Macaca fascicularis: one gene and its partners. The protein of the gene in region 1 interacts with the protein of each later gene in a pairwise test. Links are inferred from orthologs where the notes say so. Each region holds a gene or a part of one and is shown in the gene's direction. Other genes may lie near its edges.

The links. The genes of interacting proteins can lie anywhere in the genome.
Region 2: the proteins of TRIM39 (region 1) and PSMA6 interact in binary tests that used the Homo sapiens proteins (3 or more experiments, as listed by UniProt). The two-hybrid records come from large-scale screens. The link is inferred for Macaca fascicularis from reciprocal best matches to the Homo sapiens genes TRIM39 and PSMA6.
Region 3: the proteins of TRIM39 (region 1) and EIF4A2 interact in binary tests that used the Homo sapiens proteins (3 or more experiments, as listed by UniProt). The two-hybrid records come from large-scale screens. The link is inferred for Macaca fascicularis from reciprocal best matches to the Homo sapiens genes TRIM39 and EIF4A2.

The regions. Positions count from the first base shown.
Region 1 is NC_088378.1:142,312,646-142,316,213, reverse strand, and holds part of TRIM39 (E3 ubiquitin-protein ligase TRIM39), read left to right. Parts: intron 1-3,060; coding exon 3,061-3,291; intron 3,292-3,568.
Region 2 is NC_088381.1:103,130,539-103,134,268, forward strand, and holds the end of PSMA6 (proteasome subunit alpha type-6), read left to right. Parts: intron 1-66; coding exon 67-161; intron 162-2,956; coding exon 2,957-3,014; 3' UTR 3,015-3,182; downstream 3,183-3,730. UniProt on the Homo sapiens protein: Component of the 20S core proteasome complex involved in the proteolytic degradation of most intracellular proteins. This complex plays numerous essential roles within the cell by associating with different regulatory particles.
Region 3 is NC_088376.1:11,706,516-11,710,370, reverse strand, and holds the end of EIF4A2 (eukaryotic initiation factor 4A-II), read left to right. Parts: coding exon 1-98; intron 99-123; exon of another isoform or gene 124-301; intron 302-531; coding exon 532-669; intron 670-704; exon of another isoform or gene 705-836; intron 837-895; coding exon 896-985; intron 986-1,012; exon of another isoform or gene 1,013-1,151; intron 1,152-1,205; coding exon 1,206-1,285; intron 1,286-1,716; exon of another isoform or gene 1,717-1,827; intron 1,828-2,531; coding exon 2,532-2,676; 3' UTR 2,677-3,307; downstream 3,308-3,855. Other genes in the region: RFC4 (replication factor C subunit 4), read right to left, coding at 3,376-3,471, 3,549-3,662, 3,733-3,813. UniProt on the Homo sapiens protein: ATP-dependent RNA helicase which is a subunit of the eIF4F complex involved in cap recognition and is required for mRNA binding to ribosome.

The DNA.
Region 1 (3,568 bases):
TGGAGAAAATTAGTAATGGCACAAAATGCACAGGTGCAAGTTCATAAGAAGACAACATAGAAATTTGGCCTCCTTAAAGGTTTCCCAAAGAATGATGAGTTTTTAAGAGTTGACGTAGGGATCACCAGAAGCTAAATACAAGTTTTGATTCATAGAAACATGAATTTTTAAATGAATGACAACATTTCATCAGAAAGCAAGTATTATTACCTTAGTGCCTTACCCATTTTAGCAAAGTAAGCATTTGAAATTTTTAAAATTTGAACCAATTTTGGTTACAAACGTGAACTTTTAGTTTTTTGTTCTTTTAGAGGCCTTCTGAGAAATCTAAAAATATGAAAATGGTGCTTATTGCTAGTCATTAGCTTTCTTCTTCATGTTGGTCATCTTCTTGAAGGTAAAGAATAGAGATGGAAATATACTTTTTTAAAACCTTCTAAATGCTTAAACAGAAATGTCATGTTTTTTTTAAAATTGTAAATTGTCATGTCAGTGATCTCCAAAACTACCACCAACATTCCTCTTGTGACCATTTGAATTCTCCCTCCTTCTCCCTCATCAGACTCAATGCCCCTTTTAAAAATAATTTGTAATTATGCTGAACTGAAAATTGCAGGTAAAATAACCTATGTGCATAATTTTAAATTTTAAAGAGTCTATCATGTCCAAATGTAATGAAACATAATTGATGATAAAATGTGGTATGTAATATTTGGGCATGACTACCCTGAAAGACTTTACAGTATAGCTGGTTATATGCTTGCACCTATATGTGTCATTATCAGCAACATATAAATACAAATTCAGACTGAGATGGATGTGTGCCAATGTGATTGAAACACTAAGTAGCTTAGCTCTTGGTGATACGATTTTTCATAATAATAACTTTTGGTAAAGTTCTAAGTATAACAGAATATAATCTTGTGTTTTATTTAGCTATTGCTGAAAAATTTATGTATGGTAAAACCATGTAAGAATTACTCTGTGTTTATACTACATAAAATGATATTCAAGCCCAAGCCTATGTTTTTGAATACCCAGCAGAACATTAGAAAATGTTGCAGGTCAGTTCACTATGCCGGATTGTCATTGGAGGAGTGCTAGCGTCATTGTCAGGAACTTCCCCAACTATGGAAAACAAGAAGATGTGCCCATTTCCAGAATATCCTCAGAGGGTGATAACACCTTCATTAAGAACCACTGCCCTAAAATATAGAGTGAAAAAAAGAGAAGAGATTACTGGTTTATAAGAGGAAGAGCCTTTTTGCTTCCTATTTATCACAGTCATAAATGTTAAACTTGCACCCCTACCTAAACAAACACACATGCATACACACACACACACACACACACACACACACAAAGGCTGTGTTTTATTGAGGGCAAATGTGAGAATATGTTTTGTTCAGATGTACACTGAGAAGGCAGTGGTGGAAAGTGAAGTAGCAAGTGGCCCTAAACTAGAAGAGCTGGTCAGCTTCTGCCAGGAACTAGCTTGAATCCACAAATGCCACGCTTGTCAGGCCCATCCTGGCTTTGCGTCCCCACCCTCTCTTCACCCTCAGGCCTGCCTTTCGTTCCCTATCCACTTCCTTCTAGAGTCCCAGTCTCTGCTTCTCACTTTGCTTCACCATCAGTCACATGATGCTTGGGGAATTCTTTCTTTAGGGAGATCACTATTTGTTGTAGTGTAGATGCAGAAGAGAGAATGTACTGATAATTCTCAGAAAGTGTTATGGCTGGTGTTTGAATCCTGTATTACCAAATTTCAGAAATGTTAGAGGCCCAATGTTAGAGTCTATGTGCTGGCTTAGAGAAAGCATGTTTCAAATTTCAAGAAACTAAATTACTAACAAACTTCTGTAACCTGTTTCTGGGGTAGGAATTGCCAATTCTCTGAAGTGACTTGAAACAATTTAACAAGTTCAGCCCTGAAATCTACATATGTATATTTTATAATAACCCATAGAATTCTTACTGATTCTTGTATTTTCACAGTTCTCTGGTTTTTATCTGGTGGATGTGTTGCAATATGCAAAAGATGACAATCTTATTTTTAACTTTTTAGTATTTGTACTTTCCTTTTCGTTTCATTGTTTTTCATGTTTGTTTTGAGACAGAATCTCACCCAGGCTGGAGTGCAGTAGTAATCACAGCACACTAACTCAAACTCCAGGGTTCCAGCCATCCATCCTCTTGTCTCAGCTTTTTGAGTAGCTAGGACTGCAGATGTGCATTGCCACGCCCGACTAATTTTTTTTTTCTTTTTAGTTGAAACAAGGTCTCACTGTTTTCTAGGTTGGTCTTGGACTCTTGGCCTCAAGTGATCCCCTCACCTGGGCCTCCTAAGCACTAAGCTTACAGGCATGAGCCACCATGCTCAGCCTGTACTTTCCTTTTCTCGACCGATTGAATTAACTAGAACTTTACAGTTGATAATAACACAGATATCTCTGATATCTGTAATAGTGCATGTCATCATATTATTGAGTTTTTTATCTTAAGTTAAAAAAATATATATATATGTCCCCAGTGGTCTTCACTACCAAGTCATCAGTAGGGGAGTGATAGTGATGGAGCCATTCTTTACAGAAGGAAATTCCAGTGGAATAAAACATGAGTGTTCTGTTAAACCATTTTCTCTCATTTTCTTTCTTCCTTTCTGTCTGTCCATCTTTCTGTCTTTCTGTCTTGTCATTCTTGTCTTTCTTGTCTTTGTCTGTCTTGTCTTCCCTGTCTTGTTAAACCATTTTCTCTCATTTTCTTTCTTTCTTTCTTTTTTCTTTCTTTCTTTCTGTCTTTCTCTCTGTCTTTCTGTCTTGTCTATTTTTTGTAGAGTTGGGGTTTCACCATGTTGCCTAGGCTGGTCTCGAACTCCTGATCCCAAGCAATCCACCTCCCTTAGCCTGGAATTACAGGCATGCGTCACCACACCCAGCCTTTGTTAAACCATTTTCGGTGAAACTGGAAGTCTGTGTTAATTCATACATATGGTGGGTGAGAGAAAGGCTTCCTTATACCACACTGACCCTGCTGATATAACATCTTCCCTCTTCTCAGAGACTAGTGGAAAGTCGCCGACAGCAGATCTTAAGGGAGTTTGAAGAGCTTCACAGGCGGCTGGATGAAGAGCAGCAGGTGTTGCTTTCACGACTAGAAGAAGAGGAACAGGACATTCTGCAGCGACTCCGAGAAAATGCTGCCCACCTTGGGGACAAGCGCCGGGACCTGGCCCACTTGGCTGCAGAGGTGGAGGGCAAGTGCTTACAGTCGGGCTTCGAGATGCTTAAGGTTCGACCTTTGCCCCTGCATAGCCCCTCAGGCCGAGTGCAGTGTAGCTTTGCATAGGCTGTTTTGTCAGCCTGGGATACTCATTCTTCTGCTCTGCTTCCCTAAATCCCGTTCTTTCTGCCAGGTGTACTTAAAGGGTCTTTGCTACAGAAAAGCTGATCTGATTTCTCCCATCCCCTTCTAATCATTTTTGTGTTCTTATCTCTTGTCAGCAATTATGTGCTTAATCTGTTCCAAAGAAAAGATTCATTCTTTTGAAAAGAGGGAAGTCTAGCCT
Region 2 (3,730 bases), on another chromosome or scaffold:
TAGGAATGAGAAAACCTTGGAATCTCTAAAAAATACTATATTTTAACATTACATACTCTTTTTCAGACTGCAATTACATGCCTGTCTACTGTTCTATCAATTGATTTCAAACCTTCAGAAATAGAAGTTGGAGTAGTGACAGTTGAAAATCCTAAATTCAGGTGAGTGATATTGTGGGCCAAATGCAGACTAGAAAGGTGGAGGCATGTGAGTTCATGTGTCCTATAACTTGTGGGGGAAATCTTTTTTCTGTAACTGCCATTATAGTTTTGTTTTTTTTTTCCCCTAGCACCTGAGATCTGTTTTAAAACTTACTGTACTCTCTTTAAGAGTCAGATATGAAAGCTTTTCTCCTTATTTCATAGTGGTTTTATATCTTGACACCAGAGATAACATAAAGTTACCTTCCTACCTTCCTTATGTAAGGAAAAAAGTTAGCATTGTGTTTTCTTTTTTTTAGTTTAAGGCCAATACAAATTCAATTCCCAAAGTAGTAGTTTGCAAGTTTTTCAGATAGAACTTTGGTTATTTAGTGGTTGTTTAAGTAGAACTTTTAGGAGCAATATGAGCTACTGATATATGTCAGACCCTTATCTGGAGATCTTTGGAAAGCCCACATTTTGAATACAGCTATTTGACTTGCAGATGCTGGATATGGGTGTGAGTGTTCTTACTCACTAAGTGACTAACTCCCACACATCAGCCTTCTAACTTCCATGATTCAAATCCATACTGAGTGCTTCACATAGTCAGTTCATTTAATCCTCCCAGCAACCTGTAAGTCAGTTTATATACCATGGACCAGGATGTGTTATATTTAACTAATGAAAATACTACAGTTAAATCCACAGATGCAAGGAACTACTGGGAGGCATTTTAACTATGAGGTGTATCTACTGTTAGATCACAACCATAAAGACACATGATCAGGGTTGTGGTGTGGGTATGGGAGTGGTAAACTAAGCTTAACTAGACCTTGAAGAGGTTTTTCGTTTTATTTATTTATTTATTTATTTTTTCCTAATTTGTTCTTTTGGTTGCCCACAGATAAGTCATATAAACATGACAGATTTAGAAGAATTCATAGGACTTTAAAAAAAAAAAAAAAAGACAGGAGCTGGGTGATGTAGCATGCATCTGTAGTCTCAGCTCCTCAGGAGGCTGAGGCAAGAGGATGGCTTGAGCTTTGGAGTTGAAAGCTGTAGTGCACAATGATAGTGCCTGTGAATAGCCACTCTACTCTAGCTTGGTTAACATAGTGAGACCCCATCTGTTTAAAAAAAAAAAAAAAACAATAGCAACAACAACACCAGAACCGAATCTGTCTTAGCTTTTTTTCCCTATAGGAAGAAGTCTTATAACTTGGATTGGGGTAGGGGTGAGGTGTGGGGGTGGAGATCAAGTTGCTTTCAAAAAAGGTGCCTTTTTTTTTTTTTTTTAAAGCAGTAAAAATTTCAGCAATAATAATTTTAAAATCTCTCTAAGAAACCTACAATTAGTTCTTGTTTTCTTTTCTGTTTGGAGACCTTCCTGCCACCTTTAAAATTGTATTTGTATCTGTTATTTTTAAAATTGGTAAGGAACCAAAAACCTTGTCTTCAAAAAACTTTGTATCATTTATAAGTTCTGTGATAGTAAATATATGTAAATAATTACAATACATAGCATAAGCATCAACAACTATTTAAACTGCTTAATATTGCCTTCAGTTGCACTAAAAAATGTTCTTTTGACAAATTGTACTTGTTAGAAGTCTAGTAGTAATAGGTCACATTAACAAGGTTGCCAAACAATTGATTCCTTTCGAGGCAAACATCATTTAGAAAATACATGTTCAGGGCCGCACATGGTGGCTCACGCCTATAATCCCAGCACTTTGGGAGGCCATCGTGGGCAGATCACTTGAGGTCAGGAGTTTGAGACCAGCCTGGCTAACATGGTGAAACCCCGTCTCTACTAAAAATACAAAAATTAGCCGGGTGTGGTGGTGGACGCCTGTAATCCCCGCTAGTTTGGAGGCTGAGGCAGGAGAATTGATTGACCCCGGGAGGTGGAGGTTGCAGTGAGCCAAGATTATGCCACTGTACTCCAGCCTGGGCAACAGGGTCAGACTCCATCTCAAAAAAAAAAAGAAAGAAAATATGTGTTCAACATGGAACATTCTCTGGCTGGTAGACTATTCATAGAATTACAACTTTATTTTCACTGAATCTGAACACTTTAATATGCTTAAAATTTCTTCACGAATTTTTATCTTTGAGCTGACATAAATTTGAGTTATACTACATATAAATGTATTTTGACGGCCGGGCACAGTGGCTCACGCCTGTAATCCCAGCACTTTGGGAGGTCGAGGCAGGTGGATCACGAGGTCAGGAGTTCCAGACCAGCCTGGCCAATATGATGAAACCCCGTCTCTACTAAAAATACAAAAATTAGTTGGGCATGGTGGCACGTGCCTGTAGTCCCAGCTGCTTGGGAGGCTGAGGCAGAAGAATCACCTGAACCTGGGAGGCGGAGCTTGCGGTGAGCCGAGATCACGCCACTGCACTCTAGCATGCGTGACAGAGCAAGACTCTGTCTCAAAAAAAAATTTAAAAATGAAAATAAATGCCTTTTGACATAGAAGCTAAATAGAATGCTTTATAGTTTAGCTTTATATTATTCAATTGAAATATTTTCTATCTTAGCTGCAACTAAAGAATTTTGTTTTCAAGATACAATTCTAAATCTGATGTCAAATAAGTAAACATTTTTGTGTATAGGTGAAGGTGATATATTATCTGGGAATTCTTTCAAAATCTGAGGGAGGATAAGTGTGTGTAGATTGGTTTATAAATTGATAATTGTTGAAGTAGGTCAATAGATATATGGGAGTTGATTATACTATCCTACTTTTATGTGTGTTTGAAATTTTTTTTTAAATGGTTGGTTTTTTCCCCCTTTTGCCTTCTAGGATTCTTACAGAAGCAGAGATTGATGCTCACCTTGTTGCTCTAGCAGAGAGAGACTAAACATTGTCGTTAGTTTACCAGATCCGTGATGCCACTTACCTGTGTGTTTGGTAACAACAAACCAACATTATGGAGGTCCCTGGATTGAAAAAGGAACCTCTCCCACTCCTCCTGCCACTGAAGTGGTTAGGACTCTATATAAATAAAAACAACGCTTTTGGAAAATAATTGCATCCTGTTGTTTTCACCTCCTATTTTAAAATTTATTTTTGACGCCTAATGTACATATTTATGGGGTACAGTGTGATGTTTCAATACATGTATACATTATAATGATCAAATTAGGGTGATTAGCCTATCCATCACCTGAAACACCGTGTTTTTGTGGTGAGAACATTTAAAATCCTCTCCTTTAGCTATTTTGAGGTACACAATACTTGATCTGTTTTTTGTTTTTTGAAACAAGATCTTGCTCTTGCCCAAGCTAGAGTGCAGTGATGTGATCATGGCTCACTGCAGCCTCGAACTCCCTCGTTCACGTAATCCTCTTGCCTCAACCTCCTTAGTAGCTGGTACTGCAGGTGTACACCATTGCACCCAGCTAATTTTATTATTTGTTTGTAGAGTTGGGGTTTTACTATGTTGCATGGGCTGGTCTCAGACTCCTGGCTGGCATTAAGCGATCCTCCTGCCTCAGCTTCCCAACATGCTGGGATTACAGGCATGAGCCACAGTGCCTGGATCCAGAGTACCTTACTGTTGACTGTAGTCACTCT
Region 3 (3,855 bases), on another chromosome or scaffold:
CCAAAAAATTCATGAGAGATCCAATTCGAATTCTGGTGAAAAAGGAAGAATTGACCCTTGAAGGAATCAAACAGTTTTATATTAATGTTGAGAGAGAGGTAACTGATTGTTAGACATTATTTTACCTTCTTGTATAAGCACTGTGCTAAAATTGCAGACACTAGGACTATGTCTTGGTTTTTGCAATAATGCTAGCAGAGTACACACAAGAAGAAAAGTAACAGCACTAGATTGTAAAGACTGGGATGGACCTCTTTCTTAATGTCCAATGTCCTTTGTCTTAAGATTTGGTGCAATATCTCATTAGACCCCTACGTTTTGAGACTGGCTAAGAGGGGCCAATTTTGGTATTTTGGGTAGAGACAGGGTTTCACTATCTGGAAACTGGTTGGAACTCCTGGGCTCAAGTGTTGGGATCCCGAAGTGCTGGGATTATGGGCATAAGCACTGTGCCTGGCCCAGAATGTATTTTTAACTGAAGAAAGTTGGAAAAGCTAAATGACTGTTAACTTTCTCTTCTAAACATTATAGGAATGGAAGTTGGATACACTTTGTGACTTGTACGAGACACTGACCATTACGCAAGCTGTTATTTTTCTCAATACAAGGCGCAAGGTGGACTGGCTGACTGAGAAAATGCATGCCAGAGACTTCACAGTTTCTGCTCTGGTAAGAGGTGTTCTAAAATGTCTGGATTTCCACTAAAGCAGGATTCAGACTACAATATAGCTGCTAAGTGCTGTGTTGTCGTTCCCCCTGCTCAAAATAAAGTTGTTTCTTAACTATACCTGTCTGCTATATTCCTGTAGCAGCCAGGGACGCTTGGTCTCATACATGTTGATTAAAATTACTGACCTGACTGGTGATTCTTGAATTAAGGTTTATTAATTTGCAGCATGGTGACATGGACCAGAAGGAGAGAGATGTTATCATGAGGGAATTCCGGTCAGGGTCAAGTCGTGTTCTGATCACTACTGACTTGTTGGTAAGTCTCTTAATGCTTTTTAAAAATCTACCAAAAGTTAGCTTTTTGGGGGGAAGGTTTTTAAGTAACCTTTGCCAGCTTGGGCTATTTGGAAGAGTAAAAGGACCACACTCCACAGTGGGCTATACCACTTAGTATAGTTCGCTACTATTTTGTGGCCTACATGACAGGTACCATGTTTTTTGAATTAGAATTTTTAACATATGCCATTGTGTTTCAGGCTCGCGGGATTGATGTGCAACAAGTGTCTTTGGTTATAAATTATGATCTACCTACCAATCGTGAAAACTATATTCACAGGTGAGAAGCCAGCATCTTGGATGTATTGAAAAAAAATTCATACATTTTTCTACTGTGATTTGTATGAAAGGTAACATCAAATCAAGGAATAGATTCAGTCAAGTCAGTAGTGTTCAGTAAGATGATGTAATTAAATTTGTACTAGGGGAAGGCTGACGAGAACAAAGTGGGAAAACTTGTAAACATTGCTCAGATTGTGGGCATAGGTTTTTTTTTCCCCCGCAATTGTTGGTCTTAGCTTATGCTTGAGCTTTTAGTGATGTTCTTGTGTCCATGTGCTTTTTCTTGATTTTTTCCATAGTTGGGATTTTCTTGGTGTCGCCTGGTAGCAATTTGAGTGAACCCTGGTTTAGTTATAGTGGCTTTATCCCTAAATAAATTGAATCGTACTTTGTTATGTGATGTAAAAAAAGACTTTTTAAAAAATACAGGAGTCGATAGCAGCAGTTGATGACGAGATGGCACTCAGAAACGGCGTTGACGTAATTTAGGACGTGGAATCATAAGCGAAACAGCACACTGTTTGAATAAAGAGCGAGTCGGTATTTATATTTGTTTTTCTTTTGTCATGATTATTTATTTTAAGTTGCTCCAGCTGAGGCATCTTTCGTATTAGTATTTCTGTTAGGGAACTTTTCTTACTAGGTGGTTTGTATTGTCTGGTTTCTAACATGAAGGTAGCTGTTTGGCGGTTAAACACGTTTTGAGTAATTTGAGTTACAACGTGTGAAACTGAGCAAAAAAGCAGTGATAAGTTTGGGTTACCATACCAAATAACTTGTTTTCCCACTGGAAAAAAGTAAGTTTTAGAAAATAGTTAACCTTTGCAGCATTTGTTTACAGTTTACAGTTCCAGAAGTGCGTCGAAATGGATTACATAACTGCTCTTTTATTCCTGGTGTTTACATCTGTCCCAGGCTGACACCTGCTCTTGGCTGGCCCACTTTGGTATGGGCTTTAATTTCACTACCCCAAACACAATACTGTCATCTGCTTTATAATAATGCTCAAGATGCCTGATAAAAATCTCATTTTGCAGCCAGACAAGCCTTGAATCCTTTTGGCACTAACTGCAAAGGAAGATTTTTTTCTCTAGATATGCATTAGCAGCTAGTGCTCCAGTTAGAAGCACGAACTATAACCTTGATAAGTAAACAGCAGCTGATGGTTAACAAGTGGATCGTCATGTTCAGTAGTTCATAAATTATGTGAGAAGTAACATTCTGATTGTTTTTTTCTTACACAGAATTGGCAGAGGGGGTCGATTTGGGAGGAAAGGTGTGGCTATAAACTTTGTTACTGAAGAAGACAAGAGGATTCTTCGTGACATTGAGACTTTCTACAATACTACAGTGGAGGAGATGCCCATGAATGTGGCTGACCTTATTTAATTCCTGGGATGAGAGTTTTGGATGCAGTGCTCGCTGTTGCTGAATAGGCGATCACAACGTGCATTGTGCTTCTTTCTTTGGGAATATTTGAATCTTGTCTCAATGCTCATAACGGATCAGAAATACAGATTTTGATAGCAAAGCGACATTAGTCGTGAGCTCTTGTGAGGAAAGTCATTGGCTTTATCCTCTTTAGAGTTAGACTGTTGGGGTGGGTATAAAAGATGGGGTCTGTAAAATCTTTCTTTCTTAGAAATTTATTTCCTAGTTCTGTAGAAATGGTTGTATTAGATGTTCTCTATCATTTAATAATATACTTGTGGACTAAAAGATATAAGTGCTGTATAAAATCAGCCAATTATGTTAAACTAGCATATCTGCCTTTATTGTGTTTGTCATTAGCCTGAGTAGAAAGGCCTTTAAAATTTTTTTAGAAAGCATTTGAATGCATTTTGTTTGGTATTGTATTTATTCAATAAAGTATTTAATTAGTGCTAAGTGTGAACTGGACCCTGTTGCTAAGCCCCAGCAAGCAATCATCCTAGGTAGGGTTTAATCCCCAGTAAAATTGCCATATTGCACATGTCTTAATGAAGTTTGAATGTTAAATAAATTGTATATTCACTTTAAAGGTGCTTTTGGTCATTTTTATTACAACCCCCTTATTTACAAAACCCCACATCAAAATATATTCACTTTTTAACAATTCTGAGATAATTGCTGCATCACAGTTGCACAAAGGCTGATGAGTTGCAAATGTTCATCAGCACCATCTGCTAGGCATTTGTCAACTTCCTACAAGAAAAATTTAAGAAATTAGCATCCTTCAGGTAGTTAAATGTTTAATTGACATGTGCAAAGTACCTACTTACGGCAAGTTTTTCTGTAATAATGGACTTCTGTTTATCAGATAAATTATTCTCTACAACCACATCATGGAGTTGACTGACGAACTGAGTTGCTGCATGACCCTCATCTATTAAGTCCTATTAAAAAAAAAACTTTTGGTATGATCATTTAATATTCCTTTCCCCAAAGTTAGTAAGCTGACTTTACCTTGACCACAGCTTCTAGTTTGTCAAAAGAGCCACTCTGACAGGCAGCAAATACTCCATCAATTTTCTCAGCTGGTATTACCTAGGTAATTGAACGTTCAGTATTAAAGATGTTTCTAGGTGA